2 linked regions of the Lytechinus pictus genome follow. The protein of the gene in region 2 interacts with the protein of the main gene of each other region in a pairwise test. Links are inferred from orthologs where the notes say so. Each region holds a gene or a part of one and is shown on either strand. Other genes may lie near its edges.

Region 1 (11,284 bases), on a different chromosome or scaffold from region 2:
TATGGATTGTTGCATTTTCTGCTACTAATTCTTTTTGTAATGAATTCCGAGACAGAGGATTCACTTCATCTTCATGCAAAATATTCATTCCTTTCTTTTCAAATATGCATCAAAAGAGGAGTCCAGGATTTTTTTTTATTTGTTGACTGACTTGCCCAAAGTAAATGAGAGAGATGAATAGATTGGCTGACTTTATTAAATCTGACAAGGAATTAAATGAAAAATTTACGAACCTTGGATTGACTTCAATATGGTAGTTGCTAGCAATTGTAGTGATTTCAATTTTGCTCTTTGATGGTGTCTGTGCAGGGAACAAGAGGCAAACAAAATACAAATTTAGTAAATGGTTGATCAATCTAATCAAACAAATGGAAAAAAAATTAACATACAAAATGCAGATGTAAGCCAAGCACTAATTACAAATAATTCATTCAGGTGATATATTAATATCAATATTAGAAGCAGTAGTCAAATTAAAGTTTATAGTAGGAATAGAAGTTGCATAAGAAGTAGCTGAAAATAGCTGTCATACTTGGAAAAGAGCTCCAGTAACTATTAATGAATCTAATGTAATCCAGAATACACAAAATCATGGAAAGAAGGTAAACATCATCTAAAAATTATGATGGAGCTAGCCAAGGAACATAACTCTTATACAGAATTATTGAAGTATATGTGCCCAGCGGCGGACCGTGACCCGGAGGAGACAAAGCATTGGATAGGCACAGCATTGTTCACGAAGAATAGAGTGCCCCTCCAATCATTTGTCTCCTTTAGGTCACGGTCCGCCACTGTATGTGCCACACACACAAGAACCATACGATCTGGCCCAGATGCACTTTGAATAAATCTAAACTTTGAATGAAGACTTGAAACTGCTTCTTAACCATTACGTGCATATCCTTACCATGAAAGTTTGATGTTCAATTCTAAGTTTTTCTACTCCTGATCCATACAGCTCCCTTAGAGCACACATAATCCTAGTCTTCTTCCCTGCACCCGATGGCCCATAAACCATCAAGTGAGGGAAATCACCCGATTGCACCTGTGTAATAATGTTAAAAAAACAAAGGCTTTTGAATCCATCATCCTCTGGCAGTCTTGCCTGCATTACGCGATTCAATATACATGTAGCAGCAATGCCAACTTTGAAAACAACTATTGAATAATGATTCACAAAAAACACCATTCATATGATAATAAAACACTATATTCATCCGACTGTATTTTGACATTTGGTTTCCTTTTATAGTTTAGTTATTTGTACTTCTAGGTTTTAGCTTTGGTATTTAGTTCAGCTTTGTTTACATTCTTGATGCTTCCATTTGACTTTCAACCTGCTTCTCTAGTCATTCTTTTCCTATTCAGATGTGTCCATTACATTCCCACATCTGATTCTTTTGTTCAACATTCTTATTATGTAATCATCCCAATATCTTATTCATCTCCATCCTCTATCTCTTATTGGTTATTTTATACACTTTTCCACTTTCAGTTGGCTCCTCTATTTTCTTTATTTTCATTGTTGATTTTGTGTAATTTGAATATTTACTAATTTTATAATGCAATTTTGAGTTTTAACGAGACAAGGAAACCCAGCAAATAAATCAGTGCACTACCAGACTTCATCAAGTTTAGTTCAATTATGTTCCTGTCTTCCAAGTTAAGTTCCATCTCCTTCTCTCCATCTGCTTGTTTGATGTGTGATTGAGCTTGTGTTATAACTTATCCCCATCTTCAGTTGAACATTTATTTCCCCAGACTGTAGGCCTATTATTTTCATTAACCCTAAATACTTCAAAATACTTCAATCGGCCGATGAATATCATGAATTGTAAAATTTTTGCATTAGCTAATAAATATTGTAAGATATAAATTAGCTAATGCAAATATTTTATAATTCATGATATTTATCGGCCGATTGTCTTTTTGAAGTATTTTTTTTTTATTAAAAAAATTGGCACTGCTCATGATAATGATATCGTTGCCCTCTCTTATACGCGTCTTGTAACTAATTAAACTAGGCTACGAACAAGGCTACGAACTAGGCTACGAACCTCGGTACACTGTCTTTGTTTTGTTTTGTGTTTTTTTTTCTCTGTTAATATTCCCTCTTGTCTTGTTAAATTTATCTTACATACAATATTTGAATCGTTATCTTGTATATACAGTGCGTCTCAAAAAAAACTATACACTTTTGAAATGGCTGCCAAACAAAAAATATGTCACTTTGGGGAAAAATACCTATATACAATGTATATGGAAAGCCAATAAATTAAACTTTCAAATGACACCAAAAAGTTGGAAAACTATTCATGCTTGAGTGAGCACTACCCACTTAAACAAAGGGTATGAAAATTAGGGTGGGCAGGAATTAGCCTTCCAATTTCTTTCAGTTTTTAAGAGGCGAGTCCCTTGGAACTTGCAAAGTTGAGGGTGTTGTGATAAATTAATGATCAATTTAAATTGTTAGAGCAAATTTCATGAATTACTAGATTGAAATTTCATGCATGAGTGAGTGTCAGTAGTAATCTTTAGTGTAGCATTTTAACTTTTTATCATGTGGATCTCAGCAGTGTGTTCATTGAAGTAAGGAGAATAGGGGTGAGATAGGACTTAAATGGGTGAAGTAAGCTAATGGGTAAAAGGTCAACAGAATGTTTAGACTCCCTTAGATCGAGACTGAATGCTATTACATGTACGCATAAAGTCCAGAGCCGACTGTCAATTTGATAAATTTTGAGAATTCGGTCATCAACTTTTACCATTTGATCAACAATTTGTTAGTAAATCAATGTGATCAATTAAACATTCAGCTTTTTCAATAAATTATCAATCAATTATTCAGCTTTTTCAATGAATTCATAAATCATCATAATTAGTAAATTTCTTAGAATCATTCAATGGAAAATAAAAGACCCATCAACCATCAGTCACTTAGCATTTAAGTTTTGAATACCATGATCCAGGAGAAAGAGAGAAAGAGGGGGTGAAGGGGAGGGAATTTGTAAGAGAAAACAAAGAAGAACACCCTTTTAACTGTTTAACCCAGTCTTACCCTATCTGACCCCCCTTGCATGCAACAGGTACATGTACCATCACATTACTCTGACTCTCACAAGCACACTTGCTAAGATCCACATAATAAACTTAAAATGCTACACTAAAATTAAAATTCCTGTTTACTCATGCACTGCATTTCAATTTAGTAACTCATGAAATTAGCCTAAGTAAAACCAAAAACTGATCTCAATTCATCAATAATTTAGCATGACACCTTTAACTTGGCAAGTTCCAAAGGACTCACCACTAAACAAAACTGGAAGGCTAATTCCTGCTCGCCCTATAGCAAAGGCTAGTCTCTCAGGATGGGAGGAAGGGGTAGAGAGAGAGGGGGGGGTGGCTTGTTCTGTTGGCCTTTGTCCCATCAACCTTCTTCCCCCACCTAAGTCATATCTCATCCCTATTGTGACTCCCATTAACACATTGCTGAGATCCACGTGAAAAGGTCAAAATGATGCTCTAAAAAAATGTAATTCATGTTCACTCATGCATAAATTTAAATTGGATAATTCTTGAAATTAGCTCTAAGAACCTAAATTAATAATGATTGATCATTAATTTATCACATTACCCTCAACTTTGCAAGTTCCAGGGGACTCGCCTCTCAAAAACTGAAAGAAATTGGAAGGCTAATTCCTGACCACCCTAATTTTCATACCCTTTGTTTAAGTGGGTAGTGCTCACTCAAGCATGAATAGTTTTCCAACTTTTTGGTGTCATTTTAAAGTTTAATTTATTGGCTTTTCATATATATAGGTATTTTTCCCCAAGGTGACATATTTTTTGTTTGGCAGCCATTTCAAAAGTGTATAGTTTTTTTTGAGACGCACTGTATATATTTTTGTATGCCATGGGTATCAAAATATTGACTTGATTGTATTAATTTTTTATAGTGCATTAATATACAAATAATGCATGCAGCCGAGTGCGTTAGTGGAAATGCAGAGCACGCGAGGTTTCTTTAGATAGGAGTCGCACTGTGCACGAGCCGCTTGCGGCGAGTGCCCAGTGTGCTCCATCTGAAGAAACCGAGCTTTCCCTGCATTTACTTTTACGCACGACAGAGCAAGTGCATTATCTGTTTTATAAAATAGCAACACAGAAACAATTTTTTAAAAAGTTACAGTACAGTTTTGTTGGACTTCTTCTTCCGGGTGTAGTACAGACCTCTGGGTAGAGTATTTTCGTAAAAAATTATTTTTTATTTTTACTTCTACCGCACTGGTTTGCTCGAGCGTGCAATGTCAATTTTCGTTGCACACCTTTTGCACTCCCGTGCAGTGCACAAAAAAAGTTGGATGTCATGTGACGCGTATTGACCAATCGCGATGCTTGAAATAATATAGCTATTTTATAACATACGAAGCTTGACCCCATTAGTATTCTTCAAATATTCTATTGAACATTCTTAATTTCTATTTGTATGATCAATTTTAATCAGTTATTTATTTCAGGGGACTCACATAAACAAGCGAAGCTTTCCAGTGAGTTCCCTTTTTTCATTTCTGTTATTCATATTATGTTTTGTTCCTACTAACTTTGTCAATTTGTATGAAATGAAGAAAAAAATAAATTCAATCAATCAATCAAAAGACGGAAATATGGCGACAAGATCATCTGTATCTGCTCATCTTCTTACATGATTTTTCTTAATTTTTGTATTATTTTTCGTGTAAAAATAAGGTTATAAGTGCCTAATGGGGGGAAATGAACTTCTTTTCCATTTACAAAATTGTGTGATAAGTTAAACAAATCAAGTGATATTTTGGAGCAACCAACATTGGTCATTGTTGACGAAGGCAGAAATTATGCCATGAAAATAAGTCATTTTTGAATTTGAGAACTGATTTCTGCAAACTCTAATCAGTATTTTAAAAAGTGAAGTTATATATCTGATTAGTAATACTTCTCCTTTACAATGATGACCACAACAAGTCATTATAAAATACCTTTGATTCTTCGGGTGTGTACTACGTACTTCAACTAACATTAACACGATTTTCGGTATATGGGACCGAACAAAGGCAAAGCTAGCGACTTCATCACCACATCACCATCGATACTTTATGACCCAGAATACATCTACTCACCAACTTTTTCAGATTTGATGCTTGCTCCTTGTGATAATCGAGCTTGGATAATGACGTTGGTCTGTGTTTGTCCACCCATAAACTCATTTTGATAGTCTAAAATTAATGGTGATTTAGAATTATGTATGCATACAACACTGACTGATCGCGCGAAACTTGCGAATTTCCCGCAACTAAAGGTCATGACCTTTTATAATAGTCTTCGCGAAAATTGAAAAGAGTAATCAATGCCAATGACTGGAATAGTCTTCCTGGGGCCGATTGCACGAAAGGGTCTTTCCAAGGACCGTCTTTCGTGTCGCCCATCTTTTATGATGCGCTATAAGCGGGGTGTTTCTGAAATTTATGATAAACAAATAAAATTCGTAAGCTTGCTTTTAAATCAAATTTTATACAATTTCATGAGATATCACATCATTTTATAAACAAATATTTTGTTTATTTTAACGGACAAATAAAATATATTTGCAGATAATTTATTTGAAATGCGTTTCACATGGCGTATCATAAAAGATGGGCGACACGAAAGACGGTCCTTGGAAAGACCCTTTCGTGCAATCGGCCCCTGAAATATACAAATGCCAACAACAGACAAATTTAAAAGAAGTATTGATATATTTTGGCAAAATAAGCACTTTGAGCTTCCATGACTCCTCACGCAAGCTCATGAAGTAGTAGTTTTCAGCAATATTAATCCTACAAGAAGCGACCGGGCCTTCATCCCGTATCGATATTTAATTTCGTTCAAGGTGGGTGGATCGCAATTTTCGTTTTAACGCATCTTCTCGATCAAAGTAGGGTCCATGATCAAAGTATTGTAAATAATAAATAGTCCAGTCAATCTAGCCAGAATAGGGGGGTAACCCACCACTAATTGCAACACGAGATATTCCACTGAAATGCTTTCCAGGAAGGTCCCCTAAACAACATACTAAAAGTCCCAAGAAATCCAAGCAGTGGAAATTTATGAAATTTGCATATTATGCAAATTAGCCATGAAAAATTAGAAAAAGAAGGGAAATAATCCAAAGATTACAAATTAAATGTCCAAAACAATTTAATTTTAATGGAAATTCATGATAAATAACTGAATTCAATGTTTTTAATCAAAAGTGCAAAAATTTCTACCTCATTTGCATATTATGCAAATAAGCATCCTTATATGAAAAAAATGTCAAGATATTGTGATTTTTCTCATATAGACTGCTTGAAAACATTTCATTAATGTTGACATTAATATGCTACTATATCACTAAGCATGAGAATTCATCCCAATGCCTGAAAATTAATTTGCATATTATGCAAATTAGCCATTAAAAAAAATGAGGAAATTAATCCAAAGATTACAAATTAAATGTCCACAGCAAGTAATTTTAAACAAAAGTTCATGATGAATAAATAAGTTCGATGTCTTTATTTAAAAAAGCTAGCAAATCTGCCTCATTTGCATATTATGCAAATAGGTATCCTTATATGGAAAATGTCAAGAAATTTTGATTTTTATCACATTGACTGCAGTGAAAACATATCAGTTTTTCAAATTAATATGCTGCTATCACTAAGCATTCAAATCTATCCTAATATGGTTTATATTCAAGGAAAAATACTGGAAATATGTTCTTCGCTTCCTAAGCCGCGTTGTTAGTCTGGCAAGATGATGGGATCGGAAAGAACAAAGCACAGTATTTGAACTGGTGTGTAGTTTGTTAGAGTTGACAACCCTTTCTTATATGGATGGGAACGACTTATACTTTGTTGAAAATTCACCGTATGAAAATGATAAAGGGAGGCCAGGAAAAGCAAACTTATGGCAGGTAAGATCTGATGAGTAGTCTCATTGAGAAGTGTAGCAGAGATTCCGTCTGGCCTAGAAGCTTCATGCAGGGTGTTTTCTTTAACAATTTCTTCAGTAGTCTGGCTACACCTGTTTGACTAAACAATATGTTATCTGGCCATATCTGGGTCAGGACTGGGTCACAGGACTTGTAGAGCAGCGTCATCATCATCATCATCATGATCAGTGGTGAATACTAAGACTAAAAATCTTTGCCTTCCTTTAATAATGCTATTCCAATGTAGTCATAGCTATTGACCCAACATGCTAATTGTTACAGCCTGGATCATTGTCAATCCTGTCAACAAATTATGTATTATAGGTTTGTCTGGTCCTCTTTAATGCATTGTAGCAATTCTGAGCTTTACCTTACTGATGCTTTGGAGCTCTAAAATGTGCAAGCCTTCCTAGCCTTTCTCTAAAATCTTGACATCTTTCGACACAACTTATGTCCATTGTCCATTGAGGCAATGGTTAACGGTGTGTTCTTGTTAAAGTCCTCTTGATTGGCATTCAGTCTCCTATGCTCGCCTTGTCGGATTTCAGTACAGAGAGTTGTATGATTGTCCAAAGTACATCTGCATGACACTATTAAAGTCAGCATTCCTCCAGAAGAACATCCTTAGTCGTACCATAATTACTAAAAGGTTTATTCCTCTGGATAACCTCACAGTGTACCCATGAGTAACACATTGTGGTAAATAAATCCTGGAAGTGGTACACACTTACCCTTTTTACACAGGATTTTCTTAGCCCCGGACTATCGCTAACCCCGTACTATCCTTAACCCCGTACTATTTTTTTTCCTTTTTACACATGCCAAATTGTTATTGCTAACCCCGGATAAGGAATGCTTGCTTTTCACACACGAAACTCGCTAACCCCGGACTAGTGGTTTTTGTCGATCATTCGTAGTACAAGTACTTCACTCGTACCTTTTTACACACGCTACAATTTCCTTAACCCCGTACTATAGGTGGGGCCAAATTGCCATTTAGCCCCACCTATAGTACGGGGTTAAGCTTAGCCCACTTTCGTTTTACACTAGCGATCTTAACCCCGTACTATCGCTCTTAGCACCGCAATTGCTGGGATAACCCTGCTTTTTTGCAGGGCCAAATAATCCCGTACTAAAGGTGGGGTTAGCCCACTTTGCAAAAATGCTGTGTAAAAAGAAAGTGGGCTAAGCTTAACCCCGTACTATAGGTGGGGCTAAATGGCAATTTAGCCCCACCTATAGTACGGGGTTAAGGAAATTTTAGCGTGTGTAAAAAGGGTAACTGTGTAATCAATGTTGGATGGTATTTGATGGTGATGTTAAGGGTGTTCCATTGTGTTGTGTCCTCTTGTTGGAAAGGCAATAATCTGGTTTAGTCCTCCATCTGGTTTGTTCATTGTCTCACTGAGGAATTTCTGTTTACCATAATTATCAGGACATTAATATTATTATTTGCATACGACTTACTTAGAAACTATAGCTTTAATATTTGGAGATGGTTGCCATAGGAGATTTATAAAAGAGGAAAGAACAGAAAATGAATGCTTCATCATGAAGCAGCAACTGGATTCAGCAAGAACGTCTAATCACGATTCCTGTATCTGAGAAAGATGCCTATAATGCACTTTAAGCCTTCATCATGAATTTATGAATGGCTTTCATGTCGCTCGTATAGGCAAATGCCCATTGTTACTCTTATTAAGCATGCCCAGAGATATTGTGATCCAAGCAAGTACTCATATTCACCACCAAGACAAGTGATGATGATGATGATGGGTTCTTGTAAAGCGCCGGTATCCGCCTCAGCTGGGCGCTCATGGCGCTTGCTCAAAAAATAGGAAATATCTCACAAATTTCAATGTCTTCAAACAGTGCTTAGGATCATCATTCAGTTCAAGTACTGTTCTAGTAATACTACAATTGAGTTATTCTTGGGATAATGTTGGAGTGGGGAACAGAAAGGTATACGACTCAAAAAGTTGATTGGGTCTCTGCTCTCCTGATAAATTGGGGAAGGCTATTCCACAGCTTTGGTCCAGAGATGTAGAAGGCTCTGTCACCCCAGGTTGTGTGGCTGAGAGATTCCCTCAGCAATGCTTGATCTGCTGATCTGAGACTGCGTGTTGGTCTATGCTGAGATAAGAGCTCTGATATGTAGGGTGGAGATTTATCGTTAAGCGCTTTAGATACAAGGACCCCAAGTTTATATGTTAAGTGGTGTGCTACAAGGACCAAATATTCGAAGCTAATAGGCTTTTATTTGTACGGGTGTGACATCTTGTGCTGATCACTTGGCAATCCAGGAGCTTGCTAGCATGGGCTATACTCGCAAGATGAGAAACGCAAAGTCTCTACAAAGTAAAGAAGAGAGCAAGACTTGGATGAAAATAATGAAGCATTCAAGCAGTGGGATCCATGTAGAATGGACTCATCATTGTACAATATGAGTGGGGTAACTGCTCGTGACAAAAGTCAATATCAACCAAGCAAGAAGTGAAGGGAAGGTCATCATGGTTAATACACATAATCTACATGGAATTTTAGAGGAAAGTATCACGTATGTGTTTCCTTGAATATTTATATTATGTCGGATGCTTATTTGCATAATATGTAATTTACACTTCAGATATTAAGCTGATTATTAATGTTTTTGCCATTCTTAGTGATCACATCATATTGATCTAGACTGAAATGTTTTCATAACTGTTTTTGTGAGAAAAGTCAAAATTTCTGGATTTTTTTTCCTTATAAAAATGCTCATATATATGCAAATGAGGTAGATTTATTAACGATTTCTTATTTAAAAAATAACTAAATTTGTAAAACTTATCATGGGCTTCAGTTCAATTCGTATTGTTTTCTGCACTTGATTTCCAATATTTTGATTATTTTCCTTATTTGTAATCTATTATGGCTTATTTGCATAAAATGCAAATTTTGTGATTTTCCTATATGCTTATATGTTTAAGGACTTTTAATATGGTGTTTAGGAAGCCTTCCTGTAAGGTATTGCCATATTCCAATTTCAATAGATAATCTACTTGCAATTTTTGAGGGATGTATCACCAGTGTGTTTTCTTGAATATTTATAACATGTTAGATACTTTTGTTTTCATAATATGCAAATTACACTTCAGACACTAAGCTGAATACAAATGTATTCAACGTCCTTAGTGATAGCAGCATGTAAATTTCAATATTAATGATATTTTCAAGCAGTTAATGAGAGAAAAATCACAATACCTTGACATTTTTCCATATAAGGATGCTTATTTGCATATTATGCAAATGAGGTAGATTTTTTTGCACTTTTGACAAAGAACATTGAATACAGTTATTTATAATGGATTTCGCTCAAATTAAATTGTTTTGGACACTCAATTTGTAATCTTTGGCTATTTTCCTTATTTTTCTAACTTTTTATGGCTAATTTGCATAATATGCAAATTTCATAAATTTCCACTGCTTGGATTTCTTGGGACTTTTAGTATGTTGTTTAGGGGACCTTCCTTGAAATAATTGCAGTGGAATATCTCGTGTTGCAATTAGTGGTGGGTAAAACTCTATATTGACTGGACTAAAAAAGGCCGGCGTCAATCGGCGTCAATGGCTGTAGCTGTGACGTGGCCGTTAATTCCTCCCTCCACTCGTTCCTTTCAGGGTTGTGATAAAGCACGTTTTTTTTTTATTTAAAAAAAACTAACCCTAATCAAACGATCGTTATTGTTTTAAAACGTTTGAAATCGTTTTAAAACGTTTATTCAGTCTAACGAATAATTATGCAATGTTCTGTAAATGCTCTGGCCTTACTAGTAACGCATCTATGTTATGTAATCCGGCATAAGAAGGTCCTTACAAAATTAATACTAGTAATCGTTCCACTGATTTGGAAGTGTTATGCGAAGAAATCAGTGAGTCGAGAAATTTAAATCGATCATCTGAATCATTTGTTTGATACCTATATTTACCTTAATTCGGAAAAGTGAGCTGAAACTTAATTTTCTATATCTGAAAGCCGTGAATAATGTTTGCTTTTAGTATGATTTATACACACTACACACCATTAACAGACTAGTTTAATATCTCTGTTGGTGATCCTGAAAGTTGAAGGGGTAATGTTGCCTTAGCTTTTCTTTGCTCCAAAATTAAAATTTTATTACCAGTAGTCCTTTTTTTTATCAATAAAAACCTTTTATCCTGCTAATATACAAGGTAAAATAGCAGGAATGAGAAGTTAAGTGCAGACAGTGTTTTCTGTTTAGGTAAATATTTATACACTTCTTGCAATTATATAACATT
Region 2 (10,855 bases):
TCAGTTGGTAGATCGGTAGTCTTGTAGCCTGTTCTATTTATTAATGGACCATAAAGCAAGGGACTTCTGTCTGATATTTGTCTTGTCTTTTGATTTGTTTTTCTTCCAATCTCACCTTTTTTGTCTTCTTTATGAGGTGACTTGTCCTCATCCATCATTCTGAGGGTGGCTTCAAAGTCATCGTCATCATGCTCCTCCTTCTCAAGCTTTGGTTTCTTGGATCCTCCATTTGGGATTGGCTGCAAGGTGGTGAATAGGCAGATCAACTTGTCAACTATTGTCAATTATGTTTACAGGAAGATTCATTTATCAATAAAAACAGCTCAAATATATATTAAAAGGCAAATTTTATTGCAAGAATGTTATATAAAGGTGATCTTGTAGATAAGCTAATAAACCTGTCAACTGCCTTCTGAGCCAGATACTCATTCTGCTACAAAGATATATTTTACGAAACACATCTTGGAAAAAGAATTGAAACTACGAAAGTTAATCTTCTACAAGTAATTACGGCTGCCAAGCTACAGCTGGGGTAATAATATCCAAGTCCTTTGGAAGCGCATAGAGACATTATTCATAATCGTGATATGCGCTATACAAGAACTGTTTATTATTATTATTATTATTATTACAATATGTTCATGCTGTAAATTTGAATAATGGAGTAGACTTTCTAAAAGTGATTGCTATTAAAATGCTGTTTATAATGAATCAAAGAATACAACATTCAAGTGTGTTTGCTTTAAAGTGATATAACCATCAAAATGATAAAAATCTGACTCAATTTTCGAACAGTCACGTGCACTTCACGCAGATAAGCATGCATAGGACTACACCCAAATTGGTGGTCCGACAATTCCAGATGTTTTTTATATATATATATGTATATTTTGAAGTGCAATCAATGCTTTGCAATGCATATTTTCTCCTAAATATCATGGAAAGAATTTGATAGCTCAATGACTGTTTCAATATTTCCCACAACTATAACATATCTGCAACTTTGTCCTATGAAAACTCCTTTGTGCCAAATCCTAAGAGGACCACACTGTCGTACCTGATCTTTCCTTGTGGATTTCTTTGCAGACCTCTGGACCGGTGAGCTCCCAAAGAAATCTATCACCGAGGTGGGTTTCTTCTTCTCTGGGGTCGGCTGAGGCAGCTTGGCCGGTCCCTTACTGGTCTTGGAATCGGCTGACTTCACAGGGGTCTTTGACTTTTTGGATTGGGGTGGTTCGTCGTCTGAGTCTATGAATGTTCAATGTAAAAGTGAAACTAACATAACAGGTAAAGAATATTTTGGAAAAATTGTGTAGATTATGATGAATAGGAGGGTTGCCTTCTGAACCTGTTCACAAGGGTTTCTAGAGAAAAAGCATTTATGAATTGCACACTTTTTGTACACTTTATAACCTCACTTCAAGAAAATTTGAAACTAGGAACAAGTTTCATGATCATGTTCCTGTTTTAAACTTCAAGGTAATACTAATAAAAATATTTGAAATTTATATAGCGCATAATAGTCAAAAGATTCTCTATGCGCTTTACAAAATATATTTAATTACTAAATTATACATTAAACCTGATCTGAATTACATGTATACAATAAACCTAAACCTTAATCCTAAAATACTTAATACAAATTATAACAAATAAAATCAATGCATTAAAGTTACATCACTAATGAAATGAAAACTTATAATATTTAACAACATAATATATTGAACATTATATTATTAGGTATTGAATTGATTTGTTGCAATTCAAAACCTTAATTTACATTCATTTCTGAAAATGTCTGAGGCAAGAAAATGAAATGTCAGGGAAAGGATGAATGATCATGCTTCTAAAGCAATTAAGTTCTTTTGGCATCCAACAAAGCCTCTCACTCATCACTCAGTGTAGATTACCAAATGATCAAGCCCAACATGCTTGGGATTTTAATTTAATTTTTCCTTGTCCCACTCATTGATTTTTTTTTTTATAGCACTACTAGATCTTGATACCTAAAATGCTGAAAATTTTAAGTCAACAGGTTCAAAATGGAGGAAAAAATATGGATGCCCTGACAAGTTTTCTCTTTATTTTATTCAATTTTCTCTTCTTAAAATACTTTATCTCTGCAAACTTCAAAATAAATCCCTGACTTTGCTTTCTTTAAACCTCGCTTCATACAGTGCAGTGTATAACAAAGAATACCTCATCCGTAAACAGCATGGTAACCTTTCTGCTCATTTTAATAAATGTTAGATTTTTATTTTATCATTCCCCGTCTATACTAATTTTCCACTATTACTATGTATATAATTCTCTTAATTTGTAAATTTTGGAGGCCATTATGTGGTTACATTTTAACCTGAACTCTTGAATGTTTTAATTCACCTTGCTAGTAACTCTGATACAAGTCTTGCAAATATGACAAAAGAAGAGAAGATGGGAGCAGAGTACTAGACATGAATATAATTTTGTATTTATTTCATGTACTCATTGAAGGGAAAAATTTTCTCAGAATTCAAGACAGTTTCTCATCCTTGTGTTTAGTATTTATGAAAGACACACAGGATGTGAATCATTCATTTAAGTACATTAACACCTTCACTTTACCAGAGTCATAAATGATGTTGGATTTCTTCATTGATTTGGCCGAGTGGCGTTGCTTCTTCTCACTTTGCACGAAGTCTCCGTCATCGTCATTGTGCTTTCTCTTACCCTTGCCATTGCTCTGCTTAGCTGAACTGGATGCAGACTTACCCCTTCCTGGGCTGCCGAAGAAGGATCGAATGTCCTGGAATATGATTTATAAATTTATTGTTAGATCAAGTCTGTCTTTATCATTGTCAGTGCATGCACATGACTGCATGCCACTAGCAGGTTGGCCACTAGTAAAATGTACTACATGGGAGCAATCCCTCACCCCCCCACCTCCCATCCCCCCCCCCCCCTCTTCATTTGAATCCATCCATTAGTTTATAGTCATGACTGCACGGAAACATGTATCATTACCAAACTGTCAAACATTCATTTTCATGATTTAAGCCTTTTGGCATGCATTTCGACCAATCCTTTCCTTCATTAAAAAATACTGCATATCAACTGGGAAAATAAAATGCAATTAATTTTGCAATTTTGAAGTCTTGTTTCCACTGTCAAGTGTATTTTCACTATCTCCAACTCAGACCCTAAAGTTACATTTTGAAATAGTCAAATAGTTCTAAACAAGTCAAGATTCTAGATTTTACAACTCTAACTAACGTTAGTTGGATCTTTTTTTTTTTCACAGAGGGGGTTTGAAAAAGTCACAAGTGAAAGTCTGTACTAAATAAATACCTGGCCAACCATCTTGAGGGGGGGGGGTGGGGGTGATGGGGCCAGTCAAATATATTGCTGTACACATGCGTGACCAAATTATTTCCAAACATGGGCCTAAACAAGATTTTCTCTGTGTGCAAAATAACCCCTGAACAAGTTTTTCACAGGCTTCATTTACACATTTTGGCCCCATGCAGGGAAAAAGCTTGGGAAAAAATATACCCTAAAGTTCTAAACACGTTTGGCTACTCTTAAAAAAAAAGCCTTGCCTTTGGAAAGAAAAAATTACCCTAATACATTTGACCCCGGGATTGAACATAATTGACCATCCATGATTGACCAGTCTTTCTGAACCACCTTTAAAAAAAAATCATTGTTTTTTATACCCTTAACAAGTGCACATGCGACCAGACATATAGACTTTAGTTTAAAAACATGTTTTTTGGGTCACGCATGTCATGACATGTGTAAGTTAGATCTTGATCTAACTAAGACAGTAAGAACAGATCGAGATCGACTCGGGTGTACCGTGTTGCAAGAAACTTGCGATCAATTGCGATCTATATATGGTCCCTAAATCACTCAAATGTCTTGCAGTAAATTGCAAATTAGTGATTGCTAATCTGCTCCTTGAAACAAGAAGTTAAATCTGATTTGCTATAACTGACGTTGATCTAAAAAGTATGTTGTAAAATTGCAACAAAATATTTGCAATTGATCGCAAATATTTTCTTGCAACAAAAATTTCTAACTCAACAAGTTAGACTCTACTCTAGCTAGCTAGATCTAGATCCCTGGGCCAACCATATCCTCCCTCATTCACTCGTTAGGTTTCTTCTAGTTTTCCACATTCATCCATCACTTCTTTGCATCAGATGACACTGAAACTAGCCTGAAAAACCTAACGTTAGTCCAATTCCCATCTCAATTCGTCATCACGACGGGACCATCAGGCATCACGACGAGTCATCATGGTCAGGACACAATTTCGAATTTTTTATTTAATTCCGTTTCAACTTCAAATTGAAAGGGCATTTTTTCAACGAAAGGATTTGAAATCACTGAATGTCTAAAAGTAACCATAGGCCTACGTCAAAGCATTAAAATGTGCATGCAATTCAGAATATTTACCATCGACATGATTAATCAGCTGTTTGACATAAGCCGTCATTCAATTCAATTCAGCTCAGCTCAGTCGAACTACTAACCCATGTTGTTGTCATTCGCGCTCGCGCGCTGAAGTTGCGTTCGCTGTTCCCCGTCGATTCGTAAAGATTACGAATAAAAACTTGAAATGAATGGGGGGCCAGCCCATCATGATCACCTGATCGCACTATAAATCACGTGATATGCCAGAGATTGATCGGAGGGGGAAGGGGAGTGGCCAAGCGCAGCATGGAGGGGATGGAGGGAAAGGAAACTCGGAAAACTTTTCGAAAAGGGCATCTCTCCGATTTTTGTTATTTTTATAGTTGTCTACCATTACGAGATGAAAGTGTTGGGGATCAGTGATGAAGAATGCGTTTCCTTATTTTGAGGGGGGAGATAGAGGGGGTTGCTCATTTTTGTAACTTTCACTTAAAACGCGACGAGTTCTTCAATTGGCTTTATGGGGTTTTTTTCATTCCTGCGGGACTTTCAGTGCCTTATGACCCTGCTTACGATAGCCGTTATCACTAGGGAGGACCCCCTTTCTAGTGCTTTCAACAAATACATGGCCTGGTGACTCACGACTTGGATCCTAAGTCTCCTAATTTTCTAACTTCAACACCAATAGCCCAGCTCTGATGTATTTTGACAATCAATATAAACAAAACAAGTATAGATGATAGTATAATTAATTGATAATGATGATGATGTTGATGATGATAATAATAATAATAATAGTAATGATAATGATAATAATTAATAATTAATAATAATGATAATAACCACAATCACAGCAGAGGGCAGGGGCGACTGCCCCTATGAATTTTCAAGCTTTGAATACAAAGAAAAAAATAGGAGAGAATTAAGCAAAAATAATGACGAAAAGACGGAAGGGGAGGAAAAAAAGAAAGAAGAGACTTTTTGGTCGTTTGTAATTGTTATTAATATGACCTAATATTCAATTGAAGAAAAAATACATCACCATCAGCTCGCCCCACCCGTCAAATACCCTGGCGCCGCTCCTGATCCAAATTAAGGATCATGTCTTGGAAGAGCGTTTAAATTCTGACAGTTACCCCGACCCCGCCCCGCCCATCCAGCAATGACCACTTTCTTTTCTTTCACCCTCCCTCTCTCAAGTCTCTCTAAAACTCTCTTCTTCAATCTCTGCATATGCATGCCTCCCCCCCCCCCCCCCCCCCGGCCCCACCATACACTGACGGGCTCCGTGCCATTACATCCCGCATTATACATACGCTGTGCGGACTGACTGGGGTGGGGTGTGTGTCCGTCTGTCAATCCCTAGCTCTCTCTCCCTCTCTCTCCATCTCTCTCTATCTCTGCCTCCATCTCTCTCCCCCTCCATCACTATCTCCCACTTTCTAATATACCATACCCACTGATCCGTATAGGCGTGCACCTCCAAACATGAACTTCGATCTTCATTATTAGCCATCCGCTGCCCCTCGCTCCGCCAGCCTGAGAAAGTGACAGGCTCAACTTTAATACTGACCTCATTACAGGGCACCCCAGGTAAAATCACGTATTTGGGAACTATCATCCTTTTGTCATTCAATAAATCTCAAATCAGGGAGCAATCGTCCGGTCCACACTTGAGCTCATCAATGCTCATTCTCTGAAAATCATCAACAATCACAATTTCTTCCAACCAACTGTCTTGGACACGTCTATAGTTCGTGAAACCAGGGCAGGTAGTAGCAAGCGATCACCGCCCAACCGAACCATTCACAGCTGGGATTCTCAATTTTGTGTCTCTTTTTTTTCCCGCGGTCTGTCATCTGATTCATAGCAACAACAGACAAAACAGACAGGATGTCTACAGAAAAGTAAGTATAAATCAGTGTATTCAATTATATTTACATAAGCTCTTACGCCTTTAATTTCCATTATGTTACTTTGTCATCTAACTGTAAAAGGATTTGAGTTTTTCATTGCGAGATGAACTATTGCCTATTTTTTTTCCCCTTCATAACAATGTCTGCATTTGAGATACCATGACACTATACTTTGAATAAATACAGATCGGTTGTGAGTTGTGACCAAAATTTAATTAGATTCAAATTCTGGAGAATTGCGATAGCAGTAACACAACGTCATCATTATAAGCATCAGCAGGAGTATAAAAAACAACAGATCCTGAAAGAAAAAAATACATTGACCCCGCACATGATTAATCAGTCAATCAATCTAAATCCTTATTTCAGGTTGGTCACTGTCTACCGACTACCGCCGATGTGGATTTATTTAAAATCCCTGTAAATTTAGAGTGGACATTAGTGACATCTGGGCCCCGTTGTACAAAGAGTTACGATTGATCCGATCAATCGTAACTCTATGGAAATCCATCAGTGTCATAATTTTTTCTACAGGAAATTTGCAAATGTCCTTTGTAATCAAAGGAGAACACCCCGAATTGTCAAGAAATCAATGAATTTATGGATTTGCATTCATATCTAGAATTTTTTTTGAACAAACATGCATTTCATATGTTGACTTTGCTGGCTTTCCATAGTTGTGATTGATCGGATCAATCGTAACTCTTTGTACAACGGGGCCCAGTTCTCGTCGTGATGATTTCTTGTATTGTGCCTAATGTGATCACCTGCTTTCGGAATTATACCAAATTCATCTGTCCACTTTGTGCATGTCATATTACTTGAGGTATAATCTCTCAATTTGCCATCCTTTATGGTACTGATCATAGCAAGCGAAATAAAATAATACATGCAGGACTGACTATTTAGCTTGTCCGTCGCAATATTTCATATTCAAGCCCGCAGCTCTTATCCAAGAATTTCTTTAAAGGGCACGTCAGAAAGCAAAAAAAAAAAAAGAGAAGTATTTAGGGTCATGTGCGGGGTCAATGTATTTTTTTCTTTCAGGATGTTTTTTTTTTAATACTGCTGCTGATGCTTATAATGATGACGTTGTGTTACTGCTATCGCAACCTTGATACTACTGACCGAGTAGGGATAGTGCAGCACACCCCCCCCCCCCCCCCCAATAAAAAAAAATTAAAAAAATAATGATAAACTAATAAAAGAAATAAGTGAATACATGCATGATTGAATTTGAATTTATTGGTTTATTTGATCTCTAAACCCATTTTCAATATACAAATGCAGAAATACCAATCAATAATAGACAAAAAATAATGAGCTTACAGTTGCAAATGGGTATATATTGATGAAATAAATGAATTAATTGTTTGCTTACTTAAAAAAATAACGATAATTATTATTATTGAAGCCCACATATTTATTGTCATCATCAATATTATTCGCATTTACCCGCTTAATAAAACTAAAATTTCCCATTATCCGTGCAGCCAAAGGGTGGCAGGCCTATATATAGATCCCCTAAAAGGTGTTTTATCAATTTTGCAATTGTTTAAATTATTTTCTCATTCTTAAAAAATGCTTGATAATAAAGCAAACTTAAATATCTTTATCTTATACTTACCTTCATGCAATACCTTATATCTGATTCTACTTTAGACAATAAAAACAAAATTGTACTGATATAAAACCACCCCTATATCATCCCCCTCTCTCTCTCTCTCTCTTTCTCTTCCTCCTTCTATATCTCCCTCCACCTCCATCTTCTTCTATCCCTTTATTCTTCATCTACCCATCTGTCACGTCGTTCCCCCTCGTTGAATCCATGCAGTCGGTCATTAACTTTTCCTATTTTGATTCCCAATTTGACGACAATAAAAACACAAATCGAAATTCAATTACGTTCCCTTATCTGAGATCACTAATAAGAAAAAAAAACTCAGTAATCCACTCGGCAATAAAAATGAAATGATTTCGATATCATCTAGCAATTTAGGCGTTTAATATCTTCATTCACCGGCGGAATCGCTGTATATCCAAGGAGATATCACTCTCCTTGGTATATCAGTCAACCTTTTTGTTTTATGTTTTGTTGCTCCATTGTCGTTTGTAGAATGGCGCCGACGAAATTTCCTGACGATTTTGTAATTATGGAGAAAGAAGAATAAAATAGATTTACAATCTTAATGTGTTCAGGTTTGGTCAGAATGCCGGCGTTTTAAAACTCCTGTCTTTAAATATTAGGCCTGTGATGTAGGCCTAGTATACGAATTCCCTCGAATTTATATTAGGTAGTAAGAATTATATAAAACTTTAAAAAGTATTTAAGGAATCAGCCTTTAAATACAAATGTAATTCCATTTCCCAGGTGACACACATCTAGATGCAGATGCTGTTGGCTTGATATATTTTTTTTATGGAATTAGGTATCGACTTGTAACAGGGGCTGCGGAACCGGGGGGCTGGGGGGCTTCAGCCCCCCCCCCCCTCTTTTTTTTCCAAAACTGTGTACAAAAACGTAAAAATGACCATATGATTGTGATTTTTAGCATGGTCAGCCCCCCCCCCCCCCACTTTTGGCTCAGCCCCCCACTTTGAAAACCGTTCCGCGGCCCCTGTGTAACAAGATTGACGTGTATCTTTCTTCTTTCTAATTTTTCTCCATTGTATAGAAAATGTAACCGGCATTGGCCATGCTGGAGCTACTTAACCCGTGCAAAAAAAAGTCTTGGAAATGTGATGGCGCGATGGTGCAATGCTTTTTATGTATCTTTTTTTTACATTGGACGGTCTGGCTCAAAATTCAGGGGCGGATCTGAGATTTACTTCGGGGGGGGGGGGGGCTTTCTTTAACACCAATAATTCAATAATTGACTAATAAAATAAATAAATAATCAACACCAACAAAAAAAGTATAGATGCATATTACCATATTTTCTCGTACCATTTTTTGGGGGGACATGCTAACGAAAAAGTCCTAAAAGTGTAATTTGCCCCTCCCCGTCCTCGAATCCGCACCTAAATATTAATTGGCGTCTCTAAATGGTAATGGTCCAGTAGGCATCATGCATTGCCCTCGAGCAGAAGCACTGCGACATATGCTGAGGATGATATGACTGGTGTTTAAATAGAACATATTGCTCTCTAACAGACAGTCACAACACTTGATAATATCTGAATATTAAACGAATTGGTAGCATATCCATGACGTCAGGCACTAATGCCGGGATTGTGGATGCAGATACATGTGTGTGCAGGGGGGGGGGGGTGGAAGAGGAGGAATTCAAAGGCATATAAACTTCCTTGACTTCGGAGGACACCAGAGGTCCCCAAAATTTTTATCAAGTCCAACGTAGAGTTCACCAACATTCTTGCAACTTTAAACAATATTGTCTCATCATCTACGCTATTATAATCATGGCTATATAATTATGTTGAAAAACCAGCCATGTTAACTCCAGCAAAAACAGCGCAGTATGTTATCTAGTATTGGTTTAAAGTTATGGTGTAGGGGATAAAGAAACAATAAAACTTAAAGGAAATAACAATATGATATTGACGATAATCATGATGATTATTAAAAAAAAAAAAAAACCTTTCTATCTCTTATCAACCTCGAGGAAAGAATGGCAAAGTGATGTCGATGGTTTGAGAAGGGCGCATAATAGATGTAATGTTATCATCATGGTTAGTGTCGCCTTCCTATCATCACGTGCAACCAGCCATGTCAGTATGCTAAGCTCCAAACCTTTAATAAGCTTTGGGCGTGGCTTGCGAGATCAAGGTGATGCAGGGCAAAATTGTTCTTGTAGAGAAGAAGAAGAAGATGGTGATGATGATGGTGATGATGATGATGATGATGATGATGATGATGATGGTTGTGGAGATGGTGGTGGTGGTAGTGGTGGTTGTGGTATGGTGGTGGTTATGATGATGGTGGTGGTGGGTTATTTCCAATTCGTCTAATGTCATTTCGTCCAATTGCCAACTCGTCTACTATCATTTGGTCTACCATCAGTTCGTCCACTATCCACGTGGTCTAATTGCCATTTTGTCCTCTCACCATTCTGTCTAATAACCAGTTGGTCCAATAGTCATTTAGTCCATATACCATTTGGTCTAATTGGACGAAGTGTTAATTGTGCAAAATGAAATGTATATTAGACCAACTGGTTATGAGACGAAATGGTCATAGACGAAATGGTGATTAGACGAAGTGATGATTGGACCAAAATACCAAATGGTTGTTAGACGAAAAGTCGATGGACGGAATGGCATTAGACTAAATGAAAGTAGACCATGTGGTGAGTGGACGAGTTGGCAGTAGACGAATTGGCAATTTACCGTGGTGGTATGGTGGTTGTGGCGGTATGGTGATGGTGATGGTATGACGGTGGTAGTGGTGGTTGTGGTATGATGATGGTGGTGGCGGTGGTTGTGATGGTGGAGTGATGATGGTGATGGTGGTGACGATGATGATGGTGGTGGTCAGTAGTAACGCAAAGATGATACCGACGACGACGATGACGACACCTATC

What was found. The genes of interacting proteins can lie anywhere in the genome.
Region 1: the proteins of replication factor C subunit 1-like (region 2) and replication factor C subunit 3-like interact in a two-hybrid assay, tested with the Caenorhabditis elegans proteins (3 studies listed by BioGRID). The link is inferred for Lytechinus pictus from reciprocal best matches to the Caenorhabditis elegans genes rfc-1 and rfc-3.

The regions. Positions count from the first base shown.
Region 1 is NW_026974140.1:12,517,079-12,528,362, forward strand, and holds the start of replication factor C subunit 3-like, read right to left. Parts: upstream 5,336-11,284; 5' UTR 5,241-5,335; coding exon 5,154-5,240; intron 1,046-5,153; coding exon 908-1,045; intron 302-907; coding exon 234-301; intron 1-233.
Region 2 is NC_087245.1:40,462,404-40,473,258, reverse strand, and holds the start of replication factor C subunit 1-like, read right to left. Parts: upstream 4,610-10,855; 5' UTR 4,450-4,609; coding exon 4,441-4,449; intron 2,786-4,440; coding exon 2,605-2,785; intron 1,249-2,604; coding exon 1,058-1,248; intron 240-1,057; coding exon 116-239; intron 1-115.